Linked DNA regions of Drosophila melanogaster. The protein of the gene in region 1 interacts with the protein of each later gene in a biochemical or structural test. Each region holds a gene or a part of one and is shown on either strand. Other genes may lie near its edges.

What was found.
Region 2: the proteins of DIP-delta (region 1) and dpr12 form a complex in vitro, tested with the Drosophila melanogaster proteins (one study listed by BioGRID).

The regions. Positions count from the first base shown.
Region 1 is NT_037436.4:5,415,191-5,431,915, forward strand, and holds the start of DIP-delta (Dpr-interacting protein delta), read left to right. Parts: upstream 1-8,918; 5' UTR 8,919-9,085; intron 9,086-13,972; 5' UTR 13,973-14,323; coding exon 14,324-14,438; intron 14,439-16,441; coding exon 16,442-16,548; intron 16,549-16,725.
Region 2 is NT_033778.4:5,797,324-5,814,164, forward strand, and holds the start of dpr12 (defective proboscis extension response 12), read left to right. Parts: upstream 1-7,388; 5' UTR 7,389-8,131; intron 8,132-16,841. Other genes in the region: Or42b (odorant receptor 42b), read right to left, coding at 11-368, 423-1,189.

The DNA.
Region 1 (16,725 bases):
GAATTTTTTCCGCTTAACCATTAATGGTTTCAACAATTCGCAGCTGATCTGGTTGGCCATTAAATCAGACACATTATCTGCAAACCAACAAATTTATTCTGCCCTAAAGGGGATATGCGAGTATGTAGACTTGACCTACAAACGAGTTTTTCATTTAATTAAGTTTCATGCACGCAGAAGTCTGTATGTGTGTGGAAAATTTGCAAGCTTTTCCGCAGTGATTTATGAGTTGCAATCCTTCTCAGATGTCCTGCGGTGTGTGGAGCGACAAAGTTTGCTCAAAGAATATTTGAAGACAGTTTTTGCCCTTTCGAGTGTCAGTTACATTATTCATCTAAGCAAAAGTAAACTTAATATTTGCCTAGTGGCCAAACTTTTCATGATATTTTCTTCGACGTTAGTTAAATTACTAGTAAGATAACTGAAATTGAATATTTACCCACAGTATTCTATTTCACATGGGCTTTAACTCAAATTTAATGAATGCTTACGTGAATCCCTTTGATTTTGTATCTTGTTAGTTTCTAAAACTGAAACTCTAAAGCCTATAGATTTACGAGGCTCTTCATATGTATATAAGTCACCTTGTCGGTTTTAATGGTGAAACTTTTTCACTTAACCTTAACTCATGAATTGATTTTGTTTCACTTTTGTTTTTTTTTTTGTGTGACTTTAACGACTTTCCACTTGCAGCTGAAACTTCTTCCTACTGAGTAATGACTTTACATGCGTGTCAAACATGAGCGTATGTATATCCTTGCCATGTCAGGCTAAGCTGGTGTCATAAACTTCTCATAAGTTTGCTGTCTGTCCTGCCGGCTGACTGGTGTATCTGAAAGTCAAGAGTCTTACTGACAAATTATGTAATATGTTGGCTATATTAAAGTTAAACGAAGTTTGCACACAAGGGGGAAATTAACTTTACAAGAGCGATAACTTTGCTGGGCACTTTAAATAACACAATTTTCCTAATGGTTAGGGATATAATAGAGTTCCACAGTTGTTTTTTATCTCAGCTACAATAATTTGCTTGGCTTTAATATAGGTTCACACCTTCTCAAGCTTAAAGATCCTGTCTGCACCACATGTCAATTGAATTTTGGCTCATTAAGCTCGTAAATCATCGAAACACCATTAGAAGCCGTGAATATTAGGTTTCAGCAGCACAATAATCGATATCTTCCATCGGGCAATTAATTACAAGCTCTTTGCCTAATGCAGAATATCCCCATGCCTTTCAATTAAGCTGCGTTTCAAGTGCTCGAGGCCTTCAACGTATCGGGCATAATGAAAAATGAAAATTCGAGTTAAGTAAGTTCTGTTTATTTTGTTCCTTACTCCAGCTTCCTTTTTGGCATACGTCAATAAACAATAACAGCAAGAACATCAATTTGCGTATGCATGTCAGTACAGGATGCAAGGAAAAGAGGAGCCAGGTACTTCAGCAATCATTCATTTTGTTAATGAATGGCCTCAACTTCAGCACATGGAAGGGAAATGGAAAATACGGGAAAATGTAAAACGGGAAAGGCAAATTAAAATGAGTAAGGCGTAAGGATAAAGCAATATTTCATTGTAAAGTGCAAGCCATGATAATAAAGGGCAAAGGAGTTTCTCACTTAAGCCGACTAGAAGTTACCCATTAATTTTTATTTCGTTAGCATTTTTTGTCCCACAATGTCACATAATTAAATCTTCAGCTATGACTAACGAGTGAATTAATTAAATATATAAATTTACTTAATGACTTGATATACCTTGTACAATATCCTTGCAAAGTACCACTTGCTGTAAAGGAAAATGAAAGGAAAATGACAGTACTATATTGCTCATTCGCAGCGTATGACCGTCGGATATTGCATTTCACACACGCACACCCCCAACTTAAGCCGCATTTTTTGTTGCTTGTAGTGGACATCTGGATATTTCCCTGGACACGCGATAAATCTTCTTTGCGCTGATTTCACATGTGCGCGAACCTTTGGGCAAATTTAGATTTATTTCAATGCGTATGCAAATACATTTTGGACCGCCACTGCCGCAAAACTTTTGACATATTTCACTTGGCCGCAAGACAAATGCCTTTTTAATGTCCATAAATTATGCTTTCCCCGTTATCGATGACCACATCCTATTTGAGCAAACAGAGCAGTCCGAAACTTTACCCCAATCTAAGCATAAACATGAAGTTTGAATGGTCCTTCTTTTGTGGTATGAAAACATCTTCATGCATTTTATTTCGGCGAATAGAAGCAGCCTGCACTTTTCCCCATTTGCGGACAGTTTTTATGAGGCTGATCCTTAGACTATGCGAAAGTTTAGTTTACGTTCATAAATCTCCTTGTTTAGCTCCTGTGGAGCAGAGTAAACAATGAAATTAAAAACGTATTTTCTGGTCGGGCACAGTCGGGATTTAGATTCAATTAAACTGTCAACGGGACAGGGTCTTCCATTCACGGCAAACAAGCCGCCCTCCTCCGCTTCCTGCTCACCTGTCGCCATTCACCTGGCAGACAGGACACTTGCCATGTTTGTCATGTTGAGCAGCAGGCATTAAATTCGAATTAGCAGGTGGAACGAGAAACGACTCCCCCATTTTCACTAAGAACTTGGTGAAGAATTGAATTCTAACACCCCACAAGATTTATAGGTATCGATAAATGAGCAAAGGAGAACCTCTCGGCAGATCCAAAAACCACAAAGGTCAACGACTTCGTAGGAGGCCATTGAAGGACAACAAAGTGAAAATTAGGCCGCGAGAATTCTGCAGATGGCGACCGCAATGTCTGTCAAGGGGAAGGACAACCGAGGACAGCGATTTTCAAAGGATCCCAAGTACGAGGGAAGCAGAACTTGAAACATGGACACCTGTGGCTTTCGGTGGGGCAATAAATCAATTTGCTTTGACGTCTTGACATCGTGTCCAATGAAAGGAGGGGGATTGGTAGCAGAGGGTCATATTTGTCCAACCTGACTTTGCCTAGTTCGTGATGTTTGTCCTGGGCTTCTGGGTTTGACTCTCCTCTGTTTGCACAACATTTGCATTGTGACTTGCCATTAACCCCTAAATATTGGGATAGGTTTTCATCTCACTTCCACGCAGTACTATTTTAGAAAGTTCCATCATAAGATGAAAAAGCTATCCCCTTTCAAATCCATAAATAGAACCACTGATATGGAGGCATCGCTTCGGTCAGAAGCTGTCAATTTCAATGAACTTTCTTCTCTTTTTCTTTTCTGTCTGAAAATGTCAGTATCGCCTTTCGGTTTCGGGAAAACCAGAATCAAGGAGACCAAGCCGTTTATCCTGGCCAAAGTCAGACAAAGTTCAGCTGGGAAACTTGGCCCCTGTCTGACCCCTCCTACATTAATAAGGCGCTTTAAAGTCATCCCACTTACTGCGAATTGCGATTTGAATTTGAATTTGAGTCTCCCAGTGGAGAAATCCAATGCCAATGAATGCCAACAGCAGTCAGAATGAAGTACACACCCCGGCATTAGCCGCTCTCGATTTATGACCCCCACTTGACCATCCTGACCAGTCACTCTCCATGTCCACCATGTCCTCCATGTGCTCCTCTGTTCTACATTTCCCCGATTTCCACCGATTTCCCCTTGAAATGTTTGCATTGGCGAGTCCTTCGTCCGCAGCTCGCCAGCTGAATCATCCTCAATCGTCCTCCTCCTGTGCGGCAGTGCATTTTGGACATGTAATGAGCCGCAGCGGGTCTTGAACTTTGAATAGGCCCGCTACATCATCTCTTCCAGTCAATGCAGATTCAGAATTTCTGAACGAGGTCCTGCAATTGACATTTATCGCTGCTGGCTGAGCACCAGACAATGTTGAGGGTTAAGGTAGTCGAAAGGGGTTAAATGGGTGGGCGGACTCTTTCGGGGAACTTAACAACTCATTAACACGCGCAGGACAACAATTGCTGTCACTGCCATTGGCAATTGAAGCGCTTAAACGTTGTAATTCACTTGTATCGCACAATTATTCGCTCATTTGTTGGATAACGAAAACCGGATAAAGGTAAAGGTACGACCCATGTCAGGAAAATGTAATCGGAAAGGGGGGATTGTACTCCATACAATGAGCGAGGCGGTCATAATCCTCCAGGAAAGCCAGATGGATGCTCTATTGTCTTGGCCATCAAAAGAATTCAGATAGGAATATACCAGATTTTTAAAGTCATTAGAAACTGTTTGACCTCTTCTTTAAATAAATTACGCAAATTGGACGTGACACAGATTAAAGCATTGGAAAGATTTAGAAACAATGGGTATCTTAAAGATTTCCCATAAAGTTCTCTTAGACCCTGAAGTCCAAAAATTTCCTGTAAGGTCAGGTCACAATTTCTGTCCCTTGTCATTCTTCTGCCTCCAAAGATCCACATGTGCACTTTGCGTTTGCTCCAGGACAACCCAATCCATCCTGACACGCCTCCAGTTGGGTTCCATCTCAGCATCTCACTCCAACTGGCCATCTCTCATCCGACCTCGACAATTTTTGAATAACTAATGAAGGTGCCAGTTAAACGAGGAACGAGGAGCACCAGCAGGATGGCCACAATAAAACAATAACAGGCAAAACACGAGGAATGCGTCGTCGTTGAGGGTCGAGTGCCTAGAAGTCCTGGCCTGAATATGAAATTCGGATTCCGATTTCATCCGACTGTCGACATTCATCTTGCCAACTGTCTGTCTGGCATTAGGAGTCGAGCGTCCTGTGTCCGCCGTCCAGGACTTATGCATCATTGTCAAAATATTAACAGCTGGCACATTCCCCTTCCCGCCCCTCGTGTGAGCACTTGAGCTCAGATGATGATGAAATATATAAATGGAATTTAAGTTTTTGGGATACATTTTCCCGGCAAACAGACGAATGGGTCAAATCCTTTCTAAATCGGACTCGCTTTCGCCTGAAAAGCATCAAGAAGTTTGCCTTCCTTTAACCTCTGACTCAGTCCAGCATCTGGAGTGCATAAATCTAGTGCCTGAAAAGGATATTTACGCATTTGCATGGGCATGTGTAAAGATGCTTAGCTGAGGGCATAAATAATAAGAGATATTTATAAATCAACACTGGGAGGATTTGTACATAAGAACTCTCTCATATCCAAGGAAACTCATTAGAACAGGAAAAGGGATGGAGGGAAATTGGCACTTCCTACGAAATAGAAACCAAGGATATATACTCTTCTTCTGATTTCTGAAATGATTCGAGTGCAGTGCAGTGGCAAGACTCCATCCGAATATCGATTTCCATCAATGGAGTGCATCAGACAGGAGTTGAGGGGATTTAATGGGTGCCATCGAAAAGGGCACCGAATGACTTTCGTCTGGCTGCTCATGTGGGATGGGGAGTGAGATGGGCATTGCTAAACAAATTTGCACTCGAGTAAATTAAAAACAAACAACAAAATCAAATATTAATGTTCTGTAACGCGTTTCAACGATATTCAATCGGATCAGTAGCAGTATAGAGAGTTGCAAACAGGAAAAAGTGCAGAGCAAACACACCAATTTAGAAAAATTCAGAACTTTGGTTCAGTTTGTTTGTATTTTGTCTGCGCTTGGAAACAACGGCGAAAAAAGTGTCACTTATTCACTCAGTCGCAAATGAAGAAACATTCCCCTCCGAAAAACACCTCCAAATAGAGTTGTCTGCATTTCCATTTCACTGCCATTTCCCCCACAACCTTTTTCATTTCTTTTCATTCTCTTTGCCTCCGACGAGGCTGAAAATAAAACCTTTCTGGCATTCAAATGTTATTTTTAAAATTCTACCCACTTTTCCCTCGGAAAGTTCAAGTCGTGGAAAAGCGTGTGAAATGCGGAAGTATTTGCTGTTTGTTGTCGCAAAATTGTGGGAAGGGAAAACCGCAGCCAGAAAAAACGCCTTCAGACTTTTTTTTCTTTTTTGTTCGAGATTATTTGAGTGCGGATTGAATTGACCCTCGGTTAGGGGTCACATCAGTGTGCTCTTGGTTGACGGAAATCCCTGGAACGTGGGTAAATACCAGTTTCCAGGTTGCAGCTCCTAATTTCATTGTTCATTGATGGGCAGCCTGCACCTGATGAGCTTTGCATTTTCCCCGCAACTCGCATCAAATATATACACTCAGGGATCTGACATAATGCGACGATTTCTGGCGCAGAGGCCTGAATAATAATTTCGATTACGGAATTTGTGGCCGAAATTCGGGCAGCCGCAGATGCAATTAAATGTTAATCGATTGAGTTTGTGTATTGTGGATGGAAGTTCAACAAATGCCACGCCCCCACAACTGCATACTTGAGTGAGATAATCAAAAAGGAACCAGGACATTGACCCTTTGCATGTCCAAAGGGACAAAAGGGTGTTACTGTGTCACAGACGTAATTAATTGTAAATAATTGTGCATGTGTCACTTGCAATTTATTTATTTGCCAAAGACATCCGCAGGCAACAAAAGGATAATGGGAAATAGAGTATAGATTGATCTCTACCGGGGTCAACTTAAAGTTACCCACCTCATTGGCATTCCGAGCACTTACGGAAAAAGGTCAGCATTAGGGTCGTCTTACAGTGACCCTCATCTAGGGTTCCGTTTTGTAATAAAGAACTTATGGATGTCATATTGCGCATACGCCGCGTGTTCCCTGCAATTGTAAATGCCAGATGGGAGATGCGGTCTCAACTTGTTTCCCGATATTTGCATGTCAAACGCGTGCTAATTTCAAATTACTGCGGCACTTCAACTTCTCCCCCTTTTTCGCATCTTACCTTTTTATGCCCCGTCTCCACCAGCTGAAACGCATTATTTATGACTTGTACGCTTTCTGTGTCATTTTATAAACATTTTCCAAACATGTTCGGCGACCTCGGAAAAGTTCTCCTCCACTTCGGAGGCTGCAGCAGCATATAAAATGTATAAAAATAAAAAGCAGGCGACTTTATGTTTTATTTATGAGATACGCACACACAAAAGTTTGCACGGGACTTCACAATGCGTGGCGCCTTTTAATGTGACCAGATCGGGGGAAGTGGAAGTAGGGCGGTCGCAAAATAATGGTACTACAAAATGGTAAGATTAGTTTTATCGATTCTCTGATATGCTGATGCCTCATTATGCCTAAAGTGCCTGCCATATGTTCGTAAAAGGGTCAAAGGTTAAGCACTTGCTCGAGTTTGGACCCCCAAGCAACTTTAGCTTACCGCAAACCACAAATCGCCGTTTAAATATTAATACATCAATCCACTTAATATGCGAGTTTATGCCATCGAATGATGTAATAAATATAAAAGAAGGAGCCGCAGACACTCGGATAAAGATGATGCCCATATGCGGATGCCGTAAATCCTTCCTCGGCTCCATCTGCAATGTCTGTGGGAATGGAAGTCTCTCATCCACTACACTTTATGATGAGTTTTCCCCGGTTGGCTGATGGATTCACAAGTACACACATACTGTAAAGGGACCACAAAGAGCATCTCCATTAAAGTTACAGTCAGACTTCAATGGATTTCATATTTTTTGGGCTTTCCATTCTGGTTCTTTGACTTTTTCATTTATTGCAGCTGGCAAAAGTCAACCGCAATATGCCAGTAAAGCAAACAAGATTGTAATATGCCGAAAACAAAACAAATTCCTGGTATAAGAGCGCACTTCCTGAAATCCAACTTAGCCTTAGCAAGGCTGGCCTTCACTGCGGTGGTCCTGGCATAAAGGAAGTGGGCTCCTTGTTTACTTGAGAACTTATAAAGAAAACATCAACTTGGATTTCCGACACAACTGTGGAGAAGGGAATGGGTACAACAATACCGGGAAAGCAACTACTTCAACAGCATTCTAACCGTCGGAACCAGCGGATATGAAAGCAAAATTTTGCATTAAAACTTAAGAAATCATTGGGCCTTCCTCGTAAGAGGTCCCGAGATAAGAAGGCAAAATAGAATATTTCCCTTGGCTAAAGATTGCGTAAGGTTCTGCCACCATGGTCATTGCGTATTTGTGGGTTCGCTTGTGCGTTATGATTGCACGAGCAAAACCAAATGCAAATTCAGATTCTGTTGTGATGGGCAAAAGGGCGTCCACGAGTTTAGTAACAGTCTTTATCATTATTTGGTAACATAATGTACTAGTCTCTTTAAGTTTCACAGCATAACACAAGTGGTTTGCAGTCCACTGAAAAGAATGTTTCTTTACATACACTTTCATATTTGCTGTTATAAGGAAAGAGTAATTAAATATTTGCAATATGTGTAATACTTTATATAAATTCCCACAACCAAGTGTTATACCCGTATTTTTATGGGTAACAACTTTGCTACCACTTTAAATTTCTTACTTATATTTTATTCCTTTTCTAATCACCTGCTTTACCCATGTTTACCTTTGCCCGGCTAAAAGCGAACCCAATCCCCACATAAATACCCATTCAAGTTCAAGTCAACCCTTAAGGAGGCCTAAAACCGCAGCGTAAACCAAACGAGGGAACAGCATTTGCCGGTTCGCTCGTTGGATTTAATTTTGGCTTACACATTCTTGGCCAATGAGATTTATGCGTTGCTTGCGAGTTGTTGTAACTGCTGTTGTACTTCTTCCGCTCTTTTCACCCACATTTTTGTCCCACAACAGCCCAAGTTGGGGGATATACTGATATAAAAAAAAGGGCGCAAAATGTTGTTTTGATTTGGCTTCCGTTTTCTCCTTGAATTTCTTTCTCAGCAAAAGCCGAGCACGTGTTTCGTTCGAAAAACAACGACGCTTGCGCTGAAAACGTTTTCGAAACTGAACGAAACTTTGGCCGTACTCATACACGAAGTCCAAAGCGAGTGAATACGAATGGAAAACTTCGGTTTTCGGATACCCGAAGCCTTTTTTCCTGCTTTTGCCAATGAAGCGAACCATTGAGCGGCACGATTTGAATTCAGTTTGACTCGAACCTGCTCCGGAAGTAGAAGTCAGCCCGCGAGTTTCCATCGCAAGGGAAAATTCTCAATAAAACACAACAAATTAATCATCTTTTAATCACAGTTAAAAACGAGTTAATTGCAAATTACTCGCTCGTAAAAAGTGCTCATACCTAAACATACAAAGTAAACCACCAAGTGTGTAACAATTAAAATAAATCTTGTGTTAGTGCGGTTGGCCATAAAAATAATTCGTGTCGCAACAGCAGGCGACAATAAATTTTGCGGTTGGATCGTTAAAATTTCGCTTTACCTGAATGCAACTGAAGCCGGAAAATAGCAAATGAGAACGCGGAGTTTTCCCTACCATTAACTTTTTTTTGCAGCAATTTGAATTCGGGGGAAAATTCATTAAAAATACAGCTGAAGCTCAAGACGAGAGACGCTTGCTCACTCAGCCCTGTGCCACATAAATTTCACGGCAATCAGCCGGCGCTGCAAGTCATCCAAACTTCATTTGTTGCTACTTGGGCTCAGGGCTCTCGGTTCTGCTTGGTTCTGTTTTTCCGTTTTTGCTCCTGCAGGATCTGGATCCTGCCCCATGGCTCCTGCAGCTGAAATATTGCTTCCATTATTTATGTTAAGTTTATGCAACATTCTCCCTGCTGCTGCTCCCACCAGCACAAGTCCTGCTGCAGCACAAGTCCTTCCTCTCTTGTTTTTAATATCCTTCAGCTTGTAAAGGAATTACTCCTCAAGCCGGCAACTAAGAGCAAACTCAAGTCTCACGGCATTCGGCTCCTGGTTATCCACCATTTTTATAGTCTGCCTTTATTTTTGGTTCGTCTATTTCCATCATTTGCCTCGTTATTCAAACATCATCATCTTTCTGGTTCAGTGCACTGGGCTCGGGAAAAGTGCGGATAACAAGGAGCGCCATGTTATTGCCATCGAGTGCATTAATAAATCAATTGTTTTTTGCATCTCAAAGAGCTCGCTTTGCTCCAGAGATTGACAGGTCGGAAATCTGAAATGTAATCGCTGCCAGACGAAGCAATTTGCCAAGAAATGAACTCTAATTGGGTTCACTTGGAAAGTTATAAAGGAAAACGGATAAAGGCGGTGAAGAGCTCATAAATTTGCTTGTTAAACACTTGAATACATTAAAGCCCTTGAATCAGACGATCGCAAAAGGTGCGTGGAACAGAACTGTCAGTTGAAGTTGACTTTGAACTTTTAAAACTTTTGAAGAATTCAGTAAAAATCAGCAATATCCGAATATTAATTTAAATGTACAATATAATGCCTCAAGCTAATTTAAAAGTTGGAAAAATTTTAAATGAGCCAAATGCTTTCAACTCAAAAGGCAATCTTAAAATTCGCGGAAACTAACCATAAGCTATTTAGTTACCCAAATGGACCACAGGAAAATGTGTGCTTCTATGTTTTCGCCTCAAGCTCATTAACTGCTCGGAGCTCTCCCTACTAGATTGTTATTTTTCCCTCAGCTCACACAGAAAGGATAATAGGGGGAAAACAGGAACATTTACTAATTAGCACTCCCAGGCTGCACACAATGAATGTAAAATTATCAAATCGTTTTCTGCGCATTTTTTTTTTATTTTTGTTTAGTTTGTTTGTGGTATTAAAAAGGAAATAAAGGAAAAGATTCCTTGGTAGCAAATGTTGTGGGTGGACGAAGTGAAGTATTCATGGCAGCGAAACGAAAACGAATTTCAATGCATTTTTCAGCTGCACTCTATGACATTTTTAAGCGTGCACTTACAAAAATTATTAAAAATATGTTTTTGATAAGAACTTGCCAGAAGATTTTTGCAATTGAAAGCGAAAATATAGTTAAAACCCAAATTAAAGAACTTCAAATTGTTAAATTTAAGAGACATACTTTTTGAAAATTATTTTAAAATATAAATTAATTTTTATTTTATTTTAAATATTTTTTGAATGCCAATTTGGCGGTGTAGTGTATCCACATTCAGGCATCTGCAAACAATTCCATGTGCGCTGGCTGTCAGATCTGCAGGAATTGCTCAGCTGCCTGGCCGACGATTCTCCTGTCGCGGAAAGAGACAGCCTGAATGGGCAGAAAGAGACGGACTAAAGGAGATGACAGCCATGAATGGCATTTCTTCTGCTACCTCCGAGCATAATTTACATTGTATTTCAACTTGAGTGTGCAGTTGAGGCTGTCTTTTATGGTTTGTCTTGGCTCGCTTCGGGCTTTTCGTTTGGATTTTTCCCGCTTTCAGCTTTTATACAGTTCTCTTTGGCGAACGAAAAGTTTCACTTGTCACAGGCTATGGAATTTGCCGAGTAAAAGGCTTTCTTCGCGTTACGCGAGCGGAAACCTTGGTTAGCTACAATTTATACATGTCGAGCTTGTTAAGTTGTGATTGCGCTCTGGCCTAAAAGTGGACTTCTGGCTACGTACTGATTGCATCATAATTACCCAACTGCCTCCGTCCCTGATTTTTGCCCCTAAGTGCTTTTTAACGAGCTCTCTTCGGTTTTGGCTGCTGCTGCTGCTGCTGCTTTTGCTGTTTGTTGTCCGTTTGAAAAAGGTCCGGAAATAGGAGGGCAAAAAATTTCAAACATTTGTTTTACCCCCCGACACAAATGATTTTCTGTCGTAATTTTCCACCAGTGAAACCAGTCATGGTCATTTCCCTTTCAGCCGCTTTTCGAACTCTGTCGTTATAATCTGCTACATGGACCCCATAATTTGTAATTTCAACCTAATTACTTCAAGCCCAGCCGAACGGGGATCGGACCAGCTAAACAATGTTGTCCGTAATAAAATGTCAAAAACCAAAGCAAAACGCCCATTTCGTCTGATTTACACACACACATGAAGACCAGAAGGACACGCCCCCTCACACGCACAGTGCGTATGATTTCGGTTTTTGTGTCCTTTGCTGGTGACATATGTTAATGATCTGGCAGCGATTTCTGGGTCATTTAAATTGATTTTTACGCTTGTCTGTTTATTTTTGTTATTTAATTAAAATGGAAGTGGAAGCAAGTGTGTAATTATTATAATAATAATTGAAATGAATTCTCTAATTATTTGTTGCACTTGTAGTCATTATGTGCCTCCTAAAAATATTAATTATATATTATATTTTACCTTCTAACCTCCAACTAAATGTATTAAATCAATTACAACGAAATATTCGTAAGCATGGCAAAATTAATTTGATTAAAATTCTATAATTCCATTTCAATAGTTTCATAAAAACTTTCAATTTGATTATCAATCATTTAAATGCACAAAAACTCGCACAGTTGTAACTATTTCCGAATAGTTTCACAACATACATATGTACATATGTGTAGCAAAAAATCGAAATTAATAAATGCATGTATATTAATATTTAAATCGTTTGTCAGACAACGAATGAAAAACTACCAAATATCGTAGCAGAAACAGATTTTTATTTTTGGCAGTATCAAATATTTATATATTGAAGCGCCAACTCAGTTGAGTTGAGTAAGTGGATCAACTGAATCTCAGTCGCTGGTGAGAGGGGTGGCCAGAATGGGCAGGAAGTCAGGATGAGTCTGGCAATGCAGTAAGCTGATATGGAATGTTCATTCATATTTCATTTCGCGAAATTGTTCGGGACCAAGTCAGAGGAGTGCAGCTGAATTTTCAGCCTAACCAGTCGGTTGTAACGCATTTCGATGGAAAAGCGAGACACAAACTCTGATGTGTTCATGGGAAACTTTGGCATATCCTGTAAAACTTTAAGCAGAAAATGTGTCAATTTAAATTAAAACTTCTAAAATAACTTATATAAAGTAAATCACATTTATCTCAGTATAACTGAAAACATGTATTGTAAATTTGAGAATTTTTCAAAAATATTTTATATAATTAACATAAGTAACAAGTAATAGTTAACACAACCTTTCCAAGGGAATTTTTCTCCTATGAAAAATGTGTAAAAACGCAACAAAGGCAATTGATGTGCAATGGATATGTCGTCATATAGCCCTGGTAACACCAGTTACACCAGAAATCAGCGGTCACCATGACGTCGACCGTAAAAGTAACTGTTGCAATGACACAGCCGTTACTACCGGCCATCCATCGCCGTAGAACGCATTTCTGGGGCCATAAAATAGTAACATCAATGGAACGCATTCAAACGTGGCACATTCGCGCATGAACCTCGGACTGACCGGAATAAAGTGCTATTAATAATAAATGTTGCATTGGCAGAGGGCGAGAGGTGGCCAAATGAACTTGGCAAACCGAAAGCCGAGAGCCGAAAACAACCAACGGCCAAACAAGCAACCAGTCATAACCCCCTTCATTGCTGGGGGATTTCCCATTTCCCGGTAATGAAATGAAGCAACCTGCATTGCGTACGCCCATTGTTCCCCGACCACTAAAATGGGTATCATGATTGCTATTTGAAATATGCTAAAGTTCCTGGGAATCGCTCGAAAGAATTCCCAGGCTCAGATCTTTTTAATTCTTCGATAAAAAATTAATTACACAGGTCGTGAATTTTCACTTCAATATTTCATATTTAATTTAAGATATAAGCAGTAAGCGTAGAAATGGTATTACAAGCTTTACTAACAATGCATATAAGGGGTTTAAAATGCTTGGTTACTGTTTACAAATTGAATTGATATAATGGTTACAACGAAAGTAATTCCTTTAAAATTCATAATTATTTTTTAAGAAAATATTTTAAATGTAGAAAAAAGAAATTATAGTTCACAAACACAAGTTCCTACTTTAGTTTCCCTGCTTTAGGTAGCAGCAGGGTATTTCTGACGTCGATCATTTCGATCATTTAATTTTGGCTGCGAAAACTTGTTGTCCACATACAACATTGAAAAGCCTGGGCAACAACAGCGAAACGGGGAGAGTGGATTGCCGAATAGCAGGACGACTGGCATAATAATAATAAATGCCATAATCCCCTGGAATCGGCGCTCCTCTGTGGCCATTTTTACCGCCCCCCTTTTTCCGCCTTTCTCCATGTGTGTGTGGGCTGCATTTTTATTATTTCATTTTCATTGTTTCATTTACAGGAAAAACAACAGCCGCGGAAACACAACAATAACAACAGAAACCATGGGCAAATGCCATTCGGCGCGTCAAGTGAATTAAGCGATTTTTAAAGCTTTACGCTAAATGAAATTTGAATTGCCAAAGTGTGCACTTGTGTGTGCAAATTAAATTACGCAAATCAAATAAATGTTTTAACGAAATAAAAATAGGAATCGAAAAAGAATACGGAGTGCAAATAAAAATGCTGTGCAAAAATTAACAACTATAGTGTAAATAATTCAACACATATTTTATAGCACCAGACATAGATAAAATTAAACGCAGAAAAGCAAAAAAAAAAAAAATAATAACGCAACAACGAATACAACAAAATGTTTATTCTAACGGTAGTTAAATTGCTGCTGATAGCATTAAATATATTTCCCAGTCGCTTCACAAATCGACGGATTATGTTCCTCATCTATATGACAAATCTGGTGACGCACGGTAAGCACACCCATAAATTTCATAATTTATTGATTTAGAGTTTAATCAAATGGTTGAGCCAGATGAATAACGCTGAACTTATTCAACACAGGCTTTAAATAAATAACAAAATTTAAGCTTGTTAATGCTGGGATTAGTTTGTTTTCAAACGTTTCACACATTTCACTTTCATTTTATTCAACAGGGATTTAAAGTGATTAATTTCATATTGCCTTTTTAATGCGTATGCACTTTAGCACTTTACGATTTTTCATATATTTTATTTATTTAGTTCCTTTTGGAATACAAAAAAAATCATTTAAAACATTGTGGTTCTTCAAGCCAAATGGGAATATCAAAATCTTGATTTTTCCATACGAAAGCATTTCCTTGGCCATTTTTTCTCTCTCGTTTAATACTCCTTAATAAGCATTTCCATATGCTCGCATTTCCGCCACCGAATACGTGTTGTTCACCGTGTTGAAACTGTCAGATCTGGCCATAATTTAATTAAGAAAATGAGACCTCAAAACGTTGGCAACGCGCTGGTCCTCGCAGAGAGCCCAAAACTCCGGACCGAACGCAGGTGAAAGCCGTGAACCGTGATACAGTTGCAATGCTCCTGCCTACTGGCCCAAAAGGGGCGTGGCAGGAAGTTTGGGGCGCAGGGGGCCGTGCCTCGACTGCATGACGCAGATAACACGGCAACACGGCCCCATCAACTTGGCCAGGAGGTAGACCATGTTTTTATATCCGACACTGGTAGTGTACATGGGCATATTGCAATTCGACAGGGTATTGTATTTTGTAGATACATTCGGGAGATTCTATTCCTTTAAAGATATATTTTGGGCTTACAATACCTCAAGAAATAGCTCATGAATTTTAATATCATAAATTTGTGTGGAATGTGTGTAAATATTATTATTGTTTACCACATTTTCAATGATAGGATGCAAGTCTCTAAGAGTAAACTATTTACAGTTTTCATTTAAAAAACTTTAATTTTTAAAAAGTGCAGGAGTTGCCTAATTTAATCCATTAGTCAGGTATTGCATAGTCGTTGTTCGGAATGCGCTAGTATTTATATTATTTTCACTTTTTGTGCAGCACTTCCGCGGCAAAGACAGCGGCACGAACACGAGCTGAATGCATAGAAAAGGAAAACGGAGACAAAAGTGGCATCAGGCAGCCTCAACAGGCAGCAGCTACGTGCTGCCACTTTGCCCCACCCACCATGCCACTTCCACATTGCACTCCCCGCTCTCCCCCCCCCCCCGGCAGATAAAAAATTGCTTTGTTTAATTATTTCATAATGACGCTGCGGTTGCCGTTGCCACTGTAGCTGCTGTTGATTATATTTGGCCTGTGGGTCAGGGATTTCCGGCAACAGCTGCTATTGCTCCTCCATCAACATTTGCACTTCTTTATTTTTATTACCCGGCGTACTCTGCTGGGCTTTAATGACTTCGTTATGGTTGCCATGGCGAGAAGTGGGGCTTCGAGTTGGTCCTCCCCACAAATTATTCATACGTACTTAAGAATTTTTCGCAAACTATTTTTGGCAAAAAATGTTCTTCTGGAGACTTAAGTAAAAACTTAAAACGAGCTCCGTGCTGAAATATACTAAAGAATAATTTCATATTTAAGGTGTTTATTTTGTTCATCAAACTTTGGCTGTACTTTAAAATATTATAGTTTGAGATAGTATTAATGGAAAATATGATTTCTTAATTGAGACTTATTTTTTTCCATGCTCTTATGTGTAAAGGGATTACTTTTTATATTGATGACGAGCAAATGCTTTATAATTTAATCCAATCAAGCTTGAGTAATTTTACGCGATAAGAATTTTCCAAAGCCTTCAATTACCTCACAGAAATTTCCAGCAATTGTAATTCGAGCATTATTAAAGCCATTACTCAGCTGAGTGAAATTTCCTTGGCCAGGCGCAGAATTAGGTTTCCCAGTTGACTCTTTCTCTCATTAACTAACCCACTTTCGCCGCCACTTTTCACTTGCAGTCATGATGGATGAGCCACGTTTTGCGCAGCCAATACCAAACGTCACCGTTGCTGTGGGTCGAGATGCCAATCTGCCCTGCGTTGTGGAGCATTTGGGTGGCTATAAGGTGAGTAACGTGTAGAAAGTGGCAGAAATTCCGGGAAGGGGAAAGCCCCGGGGAAACTGTCATAAATCGTGCGTAAACTGAGCTCCATGGTCGAGCCTCGGCTCGTTGATGAAGAGGTTTGCCAGCGAGACGGACAGTGTCAAAAATCAATTTCACAAATTGCACAACGACCCAGGC
Region 2 (16,841 bases), on another chromosome or scaffold:
GACCACTTACACTTATGTTGCTGCTCATGGATATCTGAAAGATACCGCCTGCAATGAAAACGATAGGCTGCTGCACGTTTTGGAGAAAATACAGTAGTGTTGTTTTGTAGCGACGACTGGCATCCACCCAGTTGGACTGGAAAATAGCATGGGTCAAGGACTCGCAGTCCTCCATGATGAGGTTGCATGTGTAGCAGAAGGGGAAGGTCTGCAGCAAAATGGTTATAACAAACATAAATGATGCGATGCCCGTCCAGATGTCTGAGAAGAAAAACACGTTGATCAGCGTGAAGCCCAGAACCAGGCCGATCAGCAGAAACTGTGTGAAGATGGTCCCCTGGATTACTGGTTTAATAATCGCGCAGTATCTGCGGGAAACATAATGGTAAGTTGCCCCATCTGCAGCTACACGCTCTTCTTACCTTAGAATGAGCTTGTGGTCCATCACACATTTGACCAGCTCTTCATAGCTCTCGGCCTCGCTCAGGTTCTCATCGGAACGGAGGCGTCGGATGCGCTCCCTTAGCATGTCCAAGTGAGCACGAAGGATGAGGGTATAGATCAATGGGTAAGAGTCCGAGAGTTGATCCTGCAGAACGGCGCCTGACATCACCATGTACTCCAACGTGGAGGCCACCCAGAGCTTGAGTGTGCCGTCATGCCAATCAATAAAGGGATTGTACAGCTGCCAGGGCGGACGCCCGCTGAGAACCGAGCTCAGGTAGGTGGAGCCGGCATATCCGCAGTAGACAAAGGTGAAGATGAGAAAGGCATGGTTGCTGCGGGCCACCACTAGGTGGATCTTTTCGCGCTCCTCCATGGCGGTGCAGCGCAGGTCCAGCTGGTCCAAAATGTTCTTGGCCTTGATAAGGCGCCAGAGCATGGAGTATGTGATTGCAACTTTTACCGATGAGCCGTAGGCATTAATGCACACCTGGAGTGAAGTGAGAAACTCTCCAGGGGAGAAGGACTTGATCTGCGTCATGTAGCTACCAAGGAAGCCAAGCGGCAGGTACGTTGTACACCACACGAACGTCATTAGCGTCCAGGTGAGGTACACATACCGGAGCACACCCTGCTTGGGGGGCAGCCATCCAATAAACTTCATGGCGCGGTAAAGGTAGATGCAACCATCTCGGGACCGCTTCTGCTCCGTGAGCGGAGCGGGACGTATTAGCTCGAAGACCATCTCGGCGTTATTGTGCGCACTGCTCTGGTGGACGGCTTATATAGGCCGGTTCCTTTCGAACTTGTGACATTTTTATAGATGAAGTTTTCAATGAGCTCGAAAAGTTTTCATTAAGTTTATGGCCCTTGCTGTTGTTTAATTATTAACTTGAGAATTTCTCTGCTGCGCTATGTTATGTTTAATTAACCAGTGAAAGCACTTGACTAGAACAAACATTTATTCAGTGTTGTTGCCCGACTTCCGATTTGACGAATTTGAATTTGAAACTGCATCGGTCGTGCTGTACTCGTTTTCACATGCTGGATTTCCAGCATGCATAAAATATGGAAAAGTTTGCGAAAATACCAGACGGGTCCTTAATGGCAATTAAGACGTTCCTCATACGTAGCGTTGGCCGCGCCGCCTTAACTTCGCCTGGGGCCACACTGTTTGCTTGTGATTGCAGCGCGGCAGGAGAAAAACATCAGCTCGAGTTTGGCACGAAGGGTTTCTCAGAAACTTTGTTAGGCCGTCCTGCGCGTGGGAGGAGTGCAAAATGGCCGCTAATCGTCCTCCTAACTAAATTTATTAAATTTTCTCTTGCAGGTCTGTGAGCTTGGGGGCGAGTGTGTGTTGAAAGCTTAGCATAATCATCCTTAAAGAGTAAGCTCGCCCAGATGCTCAGATGCTGTGTGACGTCCCATTGCAGCTTTAATGAAAAATATGTTCGCCGAGTGTTATTAATATTGCTCAGGATGTCTGGCAGTTGACACATGTTTTGTTGTCGCTGTCGCTTTTGTTGAATGTACCTTCAGTGTCTGCCTCAACTTCAGTTTCAGCTTCAGCTTTGGCCGTAGCTACAGCTACAGCTACCAACTTCCCTTGTCCTGCCACGTGTAAGCTGACATTTTTTCATTACTACACATTTCAATAGCAGGGACACCCGTAGCCGCATCAGTCGGCTACGAAGAACTCTGCCGAGCAGCTGTTGCTACTTCCCCTATCGTGTATGAGCACTGTGTCCAAGGAGCACCGGCAAGGCCATGGATAACCTTTTGTTTGCTTCTGCCGAGCTTGCACACTTGAATACGTTTGCTCTCCGGGTCCGTCACTGTCATTTGTGCTTTGGCCCGGCTATTTGGCAAGCTTCCATCTCCCCAGTCCTTTCGAGGTGAACCAGCACAGCCCACACCCGGCACCACCGGCTTATGTGCCAACACATCGCAGCATTTGAATAGAACTGGTTTTCAGAACTCGCCAATGGGGTGCGTGGTAGAAATTTATGTTGTCTCTGGCCAAATCATTTATCCCTTTAATTGCAGCGCTTTGCAGAGCTGAGAGTAGACACAGGAGCCAGTACCAGTGATGCAGGTGCTCGGGCTTGAAGTGGTCGACTAATTGAAGGCGGCGTGTGTCTTTTGGATCGTTTTGGAGCATGCTTTACGGGAGCTCGCTTGATATCCACGCCATCATTTATTATCGCTTGACGTATTTATTTTAATTAACGGAAATTAATGCCATGCTGCGCAGCTGTGCGAATATGTTTGCAGTAGCTTACACACATTTTCGGAGCGCGCTATCGAAGTGAGCTACCACGCCCACTTAACCCACACACACGCAGCCACATGAATGCACACGACGCAGCTTTTTGAGAAGGATGTCAGCCTCCCACATGACAAACTCGCAAAACAGGCAGCCTGTTTTATCGCACCGAGTACGATAACTAAGTGTCAATCTGTTTTTGATTTGTTGCAAATTAGTGGAGCCTTTGCTGAGACCTCAAAATTATTAAACATCCCGGAGCGGTCTAGTCAGAAATCTTGACAGCCGAAGTTGCCACGACTCAAGGCGAACAAACAATACTTGATTTACCGATTCTTGAATAATTATTTGTTAAATTATTTATCGTACTGCCGGAGCTTAGCTTATTTCCAAGCAGTTAGTCATATTGCTGATGTAGATGTGGGTTCTATGCACGCAAATGTTAGGAAGCCGTCCATACAAAACTTGAGATGTATTTCCCCAGAATCTCTAACATATATAAATAATCGCATTTTACTCAGCTGCCCCAAGCCATAACTACGCAGTTTGATGAGTTACTTCTTCCGGTGCCGATTCCGTTATGGAAATTAAATTATGGTCAAAAGAACTGCCCCACAGGCAACAAAAGGAGCAGAGGACCCTGCGCACACATAGACAAACTTGTTGAAACACATGACGGTGAGTGTAGACCAGGGTCGTAAATGCCATTACTATTTTGTAAACATTGCGACAGAGTGAGTGGCCAAAATTGTTAACTTACAAGGTCGTGAAAATCCATAAAAAATGGGAAACATTCGCGTACAAAAAACAATGGCTGCGAAACCAACACACAGACAAGCAAGCGTACAGCCGGGCAAATAAACAAGCTAGACATTCTGTTGCAGCAACATACAAACTTTTAATTAATTTCTGTCTGTGTGACCCGTGAGTATACGGCACATACATCTAACTGATTGCTATGATACTGCCATGAGGGGGTGGCAGTGTTTTGTTTACCCATGTGATTGCGATTGTGCGAATGTGCGGTGGGGGTCCTCTTCGGCACACCCGCACACAAATAAGAGCAACAAGAGCATTTAGCGTCACTTTGGTGGCAAAAATGGCTTGACCCAAATGTAATCAGGTAATTTGTTTCATACAGTAAATATTTACCCTCCTGCCACGCATATTTGAACTTAATAATAATTATTCGCGGGGTGATTGCCCCAACACACATACACTGGGCAAACAAGGACGAAACTGAACACAATGCGCTGCAGTGGCAGGCATTGATTTCCCTGGAAAGCCGTCTGGCTACATACTCCTTAAATATTGCATGCTCAGTCAGCCTAGACATTAACTTGGCCCAGACACGAGTCCCACTCGGGCTGCCTGACAGCCAACTTCGACTGCTTGACAGACAGAAAGTGAAAGTAGTGCAAAAGAGCAACAAACGAAATTGATTTAATAGCCCAACATTACGGCGCTAAATGCATACATGCTGTCCCACCTTCCTACATGTACATGCATATGTATGTATGTACATATGTGTATGTGTTTGGGGGTGTAACTCCAACTTCCAAGCGATTTCATTGATCAACGGTTTCCATGGCTCTGCCGGTTGTGTCAATGAGCTGCAGTTGTTCGGCTTGGATAATTGGAAAATCAGGGAATCAAATTCATCAACTCAATGCTTACGCCAATCAACCAATGGGCTTAACGTTCACTTATGAGTCATCTTCATAAAAGTATCGATCAGAGCTAAAGTAAATAATCGTAACATAAGTGGCTAAGGATTTCCCAAGGCATTTGATGCGATTCCTGCCGATCAAACTTCAGTCTTCCTCCTTACTGTACTTCTCCATTGAAATGCGTAGAATGCAAATACGTAGTAGTAAGGGAAATGTTCATAATACAGTATAAAAGCCCAATGTCCTTTTCAATTGCTTCATCCATCCATTGATAGAAGGCCGTCGTCCATTCTGTATAGCAATCAGTTCTTACCCATTACTCGTAGAGGAAAGGGGTATTTAAGTTTCTGGAGTTGTGTGTACCTGATGGAAGACAACTTGATTCTATATACTTCTATTTCATGGCTAAGAAGACAGATCATGGTCAAAGATGTTTCATCAAGGAGCTGTACAATTAGGATGGCAATAAACATCTACTGTAAATAGACCCCCGACTTCGGAGTCTCCAAATTGAGATTAAAGAGTAGAATAGCTTAAATGAACTCGACAAGAAACCATGCCCATAAATACTTCTATTAACTCCGTGGACCTGAGATAAGTAATATTAGTTGCCAAGTTGTCACTGCCAGTGGATAATTACATATATTTAAAGATGTCTGTTAGATGGAGGAAAGCAAGTATCGGTAATTTAATTGATTTATCCTGTGTATTAAATAAAATTTTTAGTAAACATTTATTAAGGAATTTATCCAAGATTCGGTAGAACCCGAGCAATACATTGAGACGGTAATAAATAAAAGAATTATTTATACTTTATACTTTTTATAATTCCGACGACGCAATAAGGAACTTTAAGCCACACAAAAATTTTATTTTGTAGGCGGTCTTAATTCCGTCAGCATTCTCGATTCCGTAAATCTTTTGCAAGTGAGTCTTACCACTGGTGGTGTTGGTTCCAAAAGCTATTTATCCCCTCTACCCCCAACAACCCCCTCAAAAGTTCTCCCTTGACGAGCAAATCTTTATAACAATTAGTTCACACCAACTTTGCAAACGTCCATTATCTAGACCAATCAAAAGGTAACGTGTGTCCATTGTTCAAAACTGCACGCTTAGGTGTCCCACACGTAACTTGCTTCCGACTGTCGCTTACCCAAGCCTTTCAGAACTTATGCCCCATTTTAGCATTTACAATCCCCACCCATGGCAATGCCAAAATTGTATTAAAATTACAAAATCAATCCTTAGCAAACAAAAAAAATATATAAAAAATAAAATTTAATTTATATACGACAATATATAATACAAAATGTTAAACTTCAAATCATACATACACTCAGCTGCTATTGCTCATTCATATTGTTAGCTTTTAATTTGCACTAAGCATTTAGCAATAAATAAGTAAATAAAAAAATATTTATAAGATGTAAATATTTGAATATTTATTATTTATTTATTTATTGGCTGAGTCGCGGCCCTCGACAAAGGCACTTCTTGTTGTCACTTGCTCCTTTGGTCGCCAAAAAGCAGGCTTATATTTCATACGAGCTGAAACTGAAAGGAAAAAGTGCAATCGTTGATAATAAACATTACGTTCCAGGTGTCGACAGAAGCAGCACAGTAGGCTGGCGGGGAAAGGTGCGACCAAAGGTGAGCGGAGTCATACTGAATGAACCAAGCATATTGATCATTGACTGAACGGCCGGCGAACATGCGAATCAACCACAAACCCAGAGCCAGATGTCGGCTGTTGTCGGTTGTGTGAGTGCAGTGCAGTTATTTTAGTGAGTGGTGGCAATAATTCAATTCGGTACATTTTAAGCCCGAAAGGCGTACGGCAGCGCGCAGACACGTGCAGGGCGACTCCGCTGCCTAATTAAGGGTACTAGGACTCGAACGACCGCCAATCGATGCAGCTTATACAATTTGCGATCGCACTCCATTCCCAAAACGTTTTCAATCGCCACAGCTTCCTTTGTGCGTCCAGGACGCGCGTCCGGCCAACCGGCGCTCTTCCGCTCCTCCGCCATTCCGCCCTCAAGTCCGCCGCGCGCCAAGGAGGAGCTCATGCAAAAGCAATTTCCTGAACTTTTACCCGACCGCTGATGCAGGCACACAGACTCACAGACACACACGCATCCTCTGGCAGATTAAGACGGCGACCCAACTCGAAACGCATTGGCCGACTCGTGGATGCCACAGCACTTGAAAACCAATACGAATGCGATTATGCCCCTGCAAGAGTGAGTGTGCGTGAGCTGGCGCTCTCGCCCGCACACAGCCACTCCAGCGTGGAAATGGCGGGCTGTAAGTAAGAAATCATTAAGGTTGGTCGGCACACTAATGGAATACGACAAGCGGCATGTGGGAACACACTCTTGCACTTGTCCTGCATCCTGGTGGCCACCGATAGCTGTCGTTGTAGTTGTCAGTTGGCCGGGGGATTTGCTCCACGTTCGGTTTTGGTCACCGCAAAAGTTTAGTTGCAAGTTGCGGCTCCGCTTGCGGCGGTCATCCGTCCGTCGGGCGTGCGTGCCATCTGACTGCCAGTTGCATTAGGATATCAATTTGCGGGACACTGATTCGCCAGTTTACTTGCGAAGTGTGGGTGCCAAAAGAGGTCCGGCTGTTGGGGTCCTTCAGCAGCCAAACGCTCCGGCACGTGACATTGGCAAAGTGAGTTCCGTTCGCAAATGTGACACAATTTGGTCATCTTGGGACCAAGGAATTCAGAGTCTCCGCGAAGACCCCTAAGAGAGAGCGCGAGAGCGAGCGCGGAAAGGACTCTCTTAGGTTACCAGAGCCCTGGAAGCCATGGAATTCAGGTGTAGCGTATGGACTCATCGGGCCAAGTCGGGGACCGAAGGCCATGCGCTGATTCGTGTCGCTGACCTAAAAGCTTGAAGAAGCTTCCGCTCAGCTTTCGCTCAGCTGAGCCAGGCGCAGGCGCAGACGCTCCCTTCCAGTGGCGAGCGGTTTCCGAATGCGTAGGAGTCCTGGTAGTCCTGTCAGTTCACTTCGTTTGCTCGTCGAAAGCTGTGCATGCTGCGGAAGCGACGGCATCGCTCGTTACCCCATTAGCAACAACAACACATCGAGCATTGACATACCATTCAACACAGCAACAACAAGGCCGTACTGAGTGCCGGACTGAGGCTGAGGTTGGATTTGAAGTTGGGGGCTTCCGGCGGCAAAAGTGCGTTTAAAATTACCAAAGTTGTCCCAATTAAAGGGTGCAGCGCGACTAACAAGTTCAAGTTGGATGTTTCGCCGCGCGAGCGACGTATTATCCCTGCGAACTCCTTTGTGCTCGCGGAAACTGGTGCGTGGCGGGCGTAAAATTCGCCAGTGACTCCGCGTTAAGTCAACTGTTCCTGCGAACTACTGCGAGTGCGAGGGCACGTTGCAGCCAACGGTGGCAAAAAGTAAAAGCGGAAACGTAAACCGAAACCGAAACGCCTGAGCGCCAGAGGTATTGAGAATCCGGGAAATCGAGAACAGGCATCGGTAGTGACAACTGTGAAATGTGCGGCTGCATTGTCGTTTTGCCACCACTTTGACCCAAATCGCATTGAATTCGCGTTGTGCCGGAGTGCGGGCTCTGCGGACGCCTAATGGCTTAGTGCGAGCAGTGCATGATCAATAAGCACCAATCGAAGCTCGCGAGTGCCCCACAGCTAGACATAAGAAAACGAGATCCACCAGCAATTGGAATCCTCTGAAGCATCGGTTCCGGGATCAGCCGTACTTGGTAAGTGATTCACAGCTAGTTGGCCGTTTCTCGCTTGTGAGTATGACATGTGGTTGACGGGAGGCTTGGGACTTGTCATCTTCCGCCGCTTCCTTCTGACTTACTCCAGACACGAGTTAGCTTATTTACGTGGGACTTGTAAGTTTGGGCTTTGGTTTATAGCCTGTGGCAAGAACTAACTTGACTGCTGTCAAACATACGACACGAACGTGTCTTGCAAAACACAACACCTCTAACTCATTAAGGGAGGTAAATGCCTAACTGCGTTGGTTATCAACCAAGAAAAGTTTAAATGAAATTAGGATTCGGCTGCACAAAGTCCGCAAGAGGAGGCTTGCAAAGTGGCCACATCTAGGATTCTGCTTAATTCATAGTAGAGAGTATTTTTCAGTGATTATTTTAGATGACTATATCAATGCGGTTTGCTTTCAGTTTTATAGTCAGAGAGTTCACTTAGAAAGGGATACATAAAGCTTATGTATGGTCCAGAACATAACTAATTTAGTCTTGTTTGGGAACACAGAAAGAAGCTGTCAAAACATCAAAAGCACTTGCAACATCGAAGATAAATTGATAGATAGATTAAAACTACTTAGTTTACTGAACAAAGTCCTTCACAACTATATTATCAACCCCCTAAGGTCGATGGGACTACGATATAGCCGGACTGGAGTTGGAAAAACTGCCGAAGCTTATTCATACACGCAGTGGCTCATGCAAATGGGAGATCGGGAATCCGACGGCTTTCTTGTGAAATAACAAAATGAAAGCGCAAGCTAAATATTTGCTAACAAAGTCCTTGGATACGGGCGCTAATGGCGAAGCTTGTTTTTGTGTATGTGACGGAGCCCCCAGCGATAAGGCACGGGGTCTTGTTTTCGTGGGGTTGGCTGGGCGATTAAGTCTGCGTTAGCCGAGACGTCAGAGGAGCGGCCACGCAGAAAGCAATTAAATGTATTTCCGCTCCAATGTCAAAATTAATGCGCGTTTCATATTTAAAAGCGTGAATGCACGTACACACGAGCATGTAGAGAAAGGTCATCGGGACGACAGGATGTGTGCGCGCGGAAGTCCTATGTCAATGCTGGACTGTCACCGGACAAGTGGGTCGAACGAAGCAGGAGCATTTTATCACCTCGGGGACTCACAGGCATGTCCGTAGCCGGACAGCTGTGGGCAAGTGGGGCACGCCCCGTTGCTATCGCCCTGCCCTGCCGGTGAAGCCGGAACCAATGGGGCGGCCCAGTTTTATGACTTGTAGTTCGACACCTCGTGTGCTGGCTAATGAGCGTGGAAGACTTGCGTAATGTGTGTTTATCATCCGCCCCGAGGCCGGCCGACTTTTTTGGTCATGGAACCGCAAATACTCGAATGTATTTAAATTGCAACTCTACTAAAAGGCGATTTGATTTGATTTGATTTTCTGCTGTGCTGTGTGCACGTGTGTGCCTGTGTGCCTGCCAGTGTGTGTCGTATATATGTAGTTCGGCAAGGTTTTTGCTCAACTCTTCCCATAGCAATCTATGCAAAATATTCACAGCCATAAGAGAAAAGTCAAATAAAAAACAACCAATATTTAAATAACGGATTACAAGCCAGTCGGCCAAAGAAGCCGGAGCTGATGCTGCTGCCACAGCAAAAACATAAATGGGAACAAGCGCCGTTGGAGGGCATGTAAGTTTCCCATTTAGTTATGAGGCCCGCTTTTTGGCCAAATGCCTGAACGAGTCGCTGGATCAGTGCGTAGACTGGCTGGCAGCCTGCTGGTGCCTTCTCAACGTTCCTGCTTCATTTCACTTCATTGTGTCTCCGGCGAGAGTCTTTGTTTTTATTCTGTTTTTTAAATCTTGTCATTCCTAGGAGTCCGTTTATTGCACGATGACATCATCTTAGGACGCGTCCTCCGGGGCATTTCACCCGATATTCAAATGCAAAGCTACCTCCCTACCAGGCATAACTACCAGTATTCAACGTACTTAATTGTATAAATTCTATTCCAAACGAACGGTTAAGTATAATTTAAGACGCCGCTGGCCGTTCGATTGCCATTCTGTCCGGGATGAAGCTGTACAATCCGGGCACTGCCAACTTTTAATTTTAATTTATTTTTGTGACTCTTGGTCCGAGCTGACCGGCTTATCTTTCTGCCATTGTGTTCAACCCGCATTGTGCAACCCTTTGCAGATATATATCGGCTGGCATCTTTTAGTGCTTTCCGTTTGATTGCAACTTGCAATCCGAGATTTTGGCAAAGTCCATCGGGCTCCAAGCGCAAAAGCCTGCCAAAGGAGAGAGAAGTGAGTGGATGCTATTAGGGGATAAAAATGGACCAGGCTTTGGGAAAATAAAGTCAATCAAATAGTGTCTTAATTGTTAAAGGGCCGTGAAGGGTTTTATGCCGGAGAATTGGATTTATTCCCAATGCAAACATAAACAATGGGCTGCAAGATGTCGAGCAGCCAATTCAAATTAGATCCCCTGCCTAAAGCTTCACAAATTAAGCCCTTAATAAGGACTTTGCATAATCAAGCCAAAGACGTTCGTGGGCCGGGCCACGCGAATTGATGACTGGAAAATTACCCGAGCAGTTTGGCTGGCAACCAATCCTGATTGATAGCCGGAGCCCACCCTCTTCACAAGTGCTGTCCAGGTATAAGTCGAGTGTTGCTCAGCTGAGCTCTGAATTATTCAGGAAATTGGCTAATTATCGAAAAAGCTTCGGATTCATGTCCCCTGTCCTGGGATTTGAGCTCCTGTGCCACATGTGCCGTTCAAACTACAAACATTCTATTAGCACTGAATGAATTATTAATAACTGTGTCAGCCGCCTGCTAATGAGATGTTGTGTGCGCTACCGTCTTCAGGGTGTGGTGTAACTTTCCCACCCACATGTAATGGCAAGGACAACTCAACTGGACACTTAAATTTTTGGCAGTGTTTGCTTAGGTCTAAGCAGAAAATCATTAGTTGAAATGCGCAAATATCTCTAAGGTTTTTATTAGCTGAGCGGCAAGTAATTGCCCACAATTAGGCCTTAATAGTACGACCATAGAGAGGCGCTACATACACTGTGCAAAGAGAGCTAATCAGGACCGTGCCAGGATACCGGCCTCGCGTATCCCTGGGGGACGAAGCTGAGCTGAAGCTGAGCGTGAATACGTTTCGGTTGCTCGTTAAGTAAGAATTACTCTGTGTGCTTGGCATGTGGAAAAGAGCTCTTTTGTTTTTTCGGGGAGCACTTCCTGCTGTCTCTTTTCGCATTACTTAGTGTTTTTATTGAAGCAATTCTGTCAGGGCAGAAAACAACAGGCTGACACTGAAAAGTTGTTATTTTCCCCAGTCATTCGGCTTAGGGCTAGCTTCCCATTTGTTCCCACCCCTTCCCCTTCACTTTCTTCTCGACACCACCCACGTCCAGCCAAATATTATTACAATTATACATTGTATTGTTTTTATTTATTCTTCCGTCATCCCCAATTATTTTCTGCGTTGTCTTCTTTCACTTGCTTGAGCTCTTCGGTTTATGGCTGTCCTTCCCCCGACACAAGTATTCCGAGTCAAATAAGCTTAAAGTTGGAAATTCGCTTACGATTCTGGTTTCTAAACAACAAAATCTAGTCATAGCTACTTATATATGTACATACATATAATATTAAAGAGATATTTTAAAATCGCTATTTTACCGTACTAGAATTTGACGCAGACAATATTATGGGATAATAAAGTTATTTAAGGTGTTTTAAAATCCTTTGAATTGCATATCAACCTTGAATCAACAGATTCAAGCCATGAACACAAAAAAAAAAACAAGCAATTTTCGTTGTAAGACTTATTCTTGGATATTTAAAAAACGAGTGGTATGATTTCATTTAAAATTGAAATTTAAAAATTCCATTAAAACTAGGATTTAAAAGTAATTAAGAAATAAGAACAGAAACTTTCCAACTAACAATTTTCATGAATACATTTAGTGTGATCGTCGTATCCACACGCTTTTTATGGCCAATTAAAGGCTTGTGTTGTTTTCTGGCCTAATTTCTTCAAGTGGTAGTATTAGTAATTATCTTAAACAATCAGTGCACAATAAAAATTCTCTTAAAAATTTTTCGATATCAGACAGGAACTCCTCTTGAGGGGGCAAAAAACCAAGTTACCCTTAACATACCAGTGTTTTGCTATTAGCATTCACAAAAAATGATTTTGCACTTGATTTTACTATACTAAAGCTTCAAAAGAAAATAGCCTGGTAACGATTTAATGTGTTAAATGAAACAGTGATAAGCATACGTTATCAATTTAATCCTTAATGATATGTATATATAGATTTATTCTCACATTACTAGTGCGTCTTCAAAAATTTCAGACAACCATTTTGTTCATGAGTAGCTAAAGCGACAGACAATCAAACAAATAACATACGCCGTTATTGTGAAAATACCTTTGAATACCTTTTGAATACCTTTGAATATCTTTTTAGCGGAGCATTGGGTTATAATGGCGGATATATAGAGCTAGAGTGCAATAACAGCAGATCTAGAATTATGCTCCACTGGTCCTGAAATAATCCAATAAGCGAACTAAAAGGAAGGAGTGCGAAATATACATCCCAACGGCTCGAGTTCCGCGACTATCCGATACCCGCTACTCAGCTAGTACAAGTGGGACCGAGAATGTTCAACACTTTTCAGGAATATCGAAAGAAATCGGAAAAAAATGTATTTTAATGTGCAGTTTTGTGCGGTTTCTGGGCGTTAGAGTGGACGTGGCAGCATGGGTCATGCCAAAGACCCTAGAATATTCTAGTGTCTTTGGTCATGCGCTGTGTTTTTGTCTCTAGAATCTGTGTGCTGAATCTCAACCTTCTTGCCTTTAAAGGTTCCTGAGATCTCAACGTTCATACGGCAGACGGACATGGTTAGATCGACTCGGCTATTGATCTTGATCAAGAATATATATACTTTATATATACTTCGTTCTGCCTGTTACATACTTTTCAATGAATCTAGTATACCCTTTTACTTTTTTCCAAAAGAAACGCTTCTCCCTGTTAAATACTTTTCAACGAATCTAGTATATCCTTTTACTCTACGACTAACGGGTATAAAAACCTGTAACAAATATGAAAGTTTTATGATAAAAATCATCGAAGCTATGATTTAATTTAAAATATTTAAAATAATTTTCCGATTGTTCCTAATTAATACCGACATTTTATATTGTCAAAAAATATTGTGTGCTTGAGAAAGTTGTGAAACCAACTTTCACAGCGTTAGCGTCTTTCGAATTTACAAGCTTTATATAAGTATATATCTGATACCGTTTACTAATTAAAATAAATATGCCTTCAGGTGACAGTGTACATTATACACATAGGTAATGTACAATACTATACATGTGCATGTACTGTACATGTACGACACTAAGCTGTTATGGTTTCAAGCCGAACCCTCTAAAATATTAATCAGCTTTTGGGAAAGTAAAATGAATACAACTTTGAAAACGACAAAATGAAAATTTGGGCGTGCCATTCATTTTCTGTTTGTTGGCGTTCGAGTGGGCGTGCCCGCCCAAGTATTGACAGAGGAACAAGCTGTAACGAGTATATAAATGTAAAACACAATCCAAATGCGCGCACTATAAGGACCACCGTTCCTTTGTCATGTCCTTTGTCATGTGCCTCGCGCTGTAACTCGTTAGAGGGTTCAAGGTCCTTGTGCCGTGCTAAGATCAAGTTGTGTCTTCTCGGCACACAAATGCATGCAAATGCCAGCCATAATAAAAACAATGCCCGGGCGAAGTGAGCACACGACATCAAGATTTAAAAATGTGTCCCAGCCTCTAAGCAAAAGGGTCTTGGAAGATGCGCAAATGAAATGTGTCCCTGGCTGTGAGTCTGTAACTAGGAGAAGGACGAGGCACTTGTGTTGGCTCTGCGCACTTGGCCCATAGTGAGGGGCGGTAGCCGAAACGGCAGTTGCCTCCAAGTCGCGTTCATTCAACAATTTAGCAGCGAAAGTATTCTCAAGTGAAGTTACGGAAATAAACAGTCTGGGTCGCACTGACTGCAGAACGTCCTGCGCCGAGAAAATGACATCAGAGGGGCAAAGGAACACTAAAAGCGAGCGGAGTCATTCGGTGTTATGTGATAAGCCTCCGATGCTCCGATATGGGTGCGTTCGAAACTTCCGCTGCGCCCCATCAAATGTGGCCGTCATGTCGTTTTCCATGCTGCAGGATGTAATGCGAGCTTATTACCATAAAAGCATTGCCTTCCGCGCTCATACATTCCTCCGCCTGTGTTTTTGGCCGAGAGGATGTGGGCCCTTTGCCAGTGGAAAAGACAACTTATAGATGTGTTCAATTTTAGTAATAGCTCTTTTGGGCCTTCGGGCGGGTCTGAAAGACACTGCTCTGCCCAAAAGTTTTTAACTGCTTCCCGTTAGATCTTAGGAAGTAGTGTGATGGCCAGCCTGTCTACCGATTATATCGCCAGGATCCGACGCAGAGCTGCCTTGGCACTCTGTCACTCCACGGACTTGAGAAATATGGCATCTGGCTGGCCGCAGGGGAGTGTGCCTTTAAGCCAGCGTCGCAAAAAGAAATTCTGAGTCAATACATGTTGAGTACCCTGAGGAGCTGGCAGAATGAACGAAACACTGGCATACTGGCAAGCTGAACGTACTGGTGTGGATGTCTCTGTGGCTGCGTGGATCCATCAGTATCAGTATATCCACGCATGCAAGCTCCGTTTGCAGCTCCGTTTGCAGCTCCGTTTGCAGCTCCCGGCTCACGAGAAATTTCTCATGCAACATCGAGCAACTTTTCAGCCGCAGAAGTTGGCAAGTACGGCAAGAGCCGGCAGAAAGATGTTATGGGGCGAATGCGAGGCATGCCGTGGCTTTCGGCGTGAATATGCTGCCACATAATACTCGGGTGGATACACAACAACTGCGTTGCCGGCTGCTCAAACAAAGGCCTTCCGCCCAGACCGCAATATTCAATTTGTGTGCGACGCAATCTTAAGTTTGTGCGTTTGCTGTGTGTCCCCGATTCGGATCCCAGGGTCCTCTTTATTTACAGCTTGTATCGCTGCAATCGTTTTTTATCTGCCTCGTTTGTCCGGGCAGTCGGCCAATAATATGGGCTGACTGCGGACATTTGCTTGCGGCCTGCTCATGCCGTTATCCTTTTATGCTCCGCTTTATCAAAACGTGCGATTGGTCATTCAGTGCCTGGCTTTATGAACTGGAACAGAGCTTGGATTTGGGTCCGAAAAGAATACCGCCCTACAATCCACCTCCAGCCAGGCACTCCCACCACAATTCTCTAGTCCCCCCTTTCCACGCCTGCACCGCAATTATGTTTTGTGGCTTGCGGCGTGCGGACCGGAAATTAATTTCGTGCTTTATTGCAACTAATTCGATTATGAGTCCGCTCGGCGTTCAAACCCAATCCAACCATCGCCCTGCACTATACACCCAACACCCAAATACTAGACCCCCCGAAAGCGGCAACCTCCCGCTGCGCTTAACATCTACACAAACAAGGCCCGCGTGCTGGCAGTGTTGATTTGCATGGATGTTTATGCATAATTTATGGCGCTGCAATTGCTGGTTGTGTTCGCAAACATGCGTCGAGCCACCAGAGATTATTTGTTTTTAAATATTGCGCACTAATTTAATTTATCGCTTTATTATTCTTTGCGTTTCGAAAGCCTGGTGGAGCGCCTGAGCGGGCTCACTTGTGCGATGCGGCATACGAAAAGCCGATTGAAATTGAAATCAATTAGAGCCAAAATGACGTCACGCGCTCCTAACTTGTTTAATTGGTGGTCTTTGAGAGGATATGCATAAAGTTGGCAGTCGGAACCTCCGATTCAAGTGAAGCGTCACCATCGCATCATGCCTCAGCAACATCCACATCAGCACACATACCGTATAGCCGAGAATACACACTCTGGGAATTTTCCTGCGTCCTTTATTATTTTTATCGATTTTCAGCTGATGGCTTTATCAACAAGCGGCGCTTGTCTTTTCAGTCCGTCTTTGGTCACTTGTTGGGCAAACACACAAAAGAACGCTCGCCCCCCTCCCTACCCCTTGACGAGGCGCCCCTGTTGAGTGATGTGAAGTGCCTGCAGGCCGCGTTCTCAGGGCCGCCTGCGCATATACATAATAGCCAGGCTTTGGGGGCGTTATGGCATTCTCACGCTTCATTTGGCATAAAGACCAAAAATAACCGCTGCCATCCCCTGGTCCTGGTTCTGCTGGGTCGTCCAGGCTTGGACGTAAATTGAGTAAACGCCCCTTATTTGCTTTGTATATTTTAAGCCCGGAATCAGCAGCAGCACATAATTAAAGAAAATGAGGAAATGGTGGGATTTAAAACATAATTTAGCTTACACAAAGCTGGATTTCCGTTGCCAAAAGCACTGTTGGCTCGCTCTCTATTTGGCCACGCCCCTATTTGCTCTTTTCACACCGAATACACTGCACACTCTGCTCTGAGACGCTATCCATCGCGATGGCCAAAACGCTAGCCCATCCCCAGGAGCGGATCGCAAGAAGCGATGGAGATTGATAGGTAAACAGGACGGCCAGCGCAATTAACATGAGTGGGGAAAATGACATCGCGATGGCACTTCCCATTGATTTTTAATTAGCATAAACAGGCAATAATTGCGCCAATGTGCAGAAATCATCGCCAATAT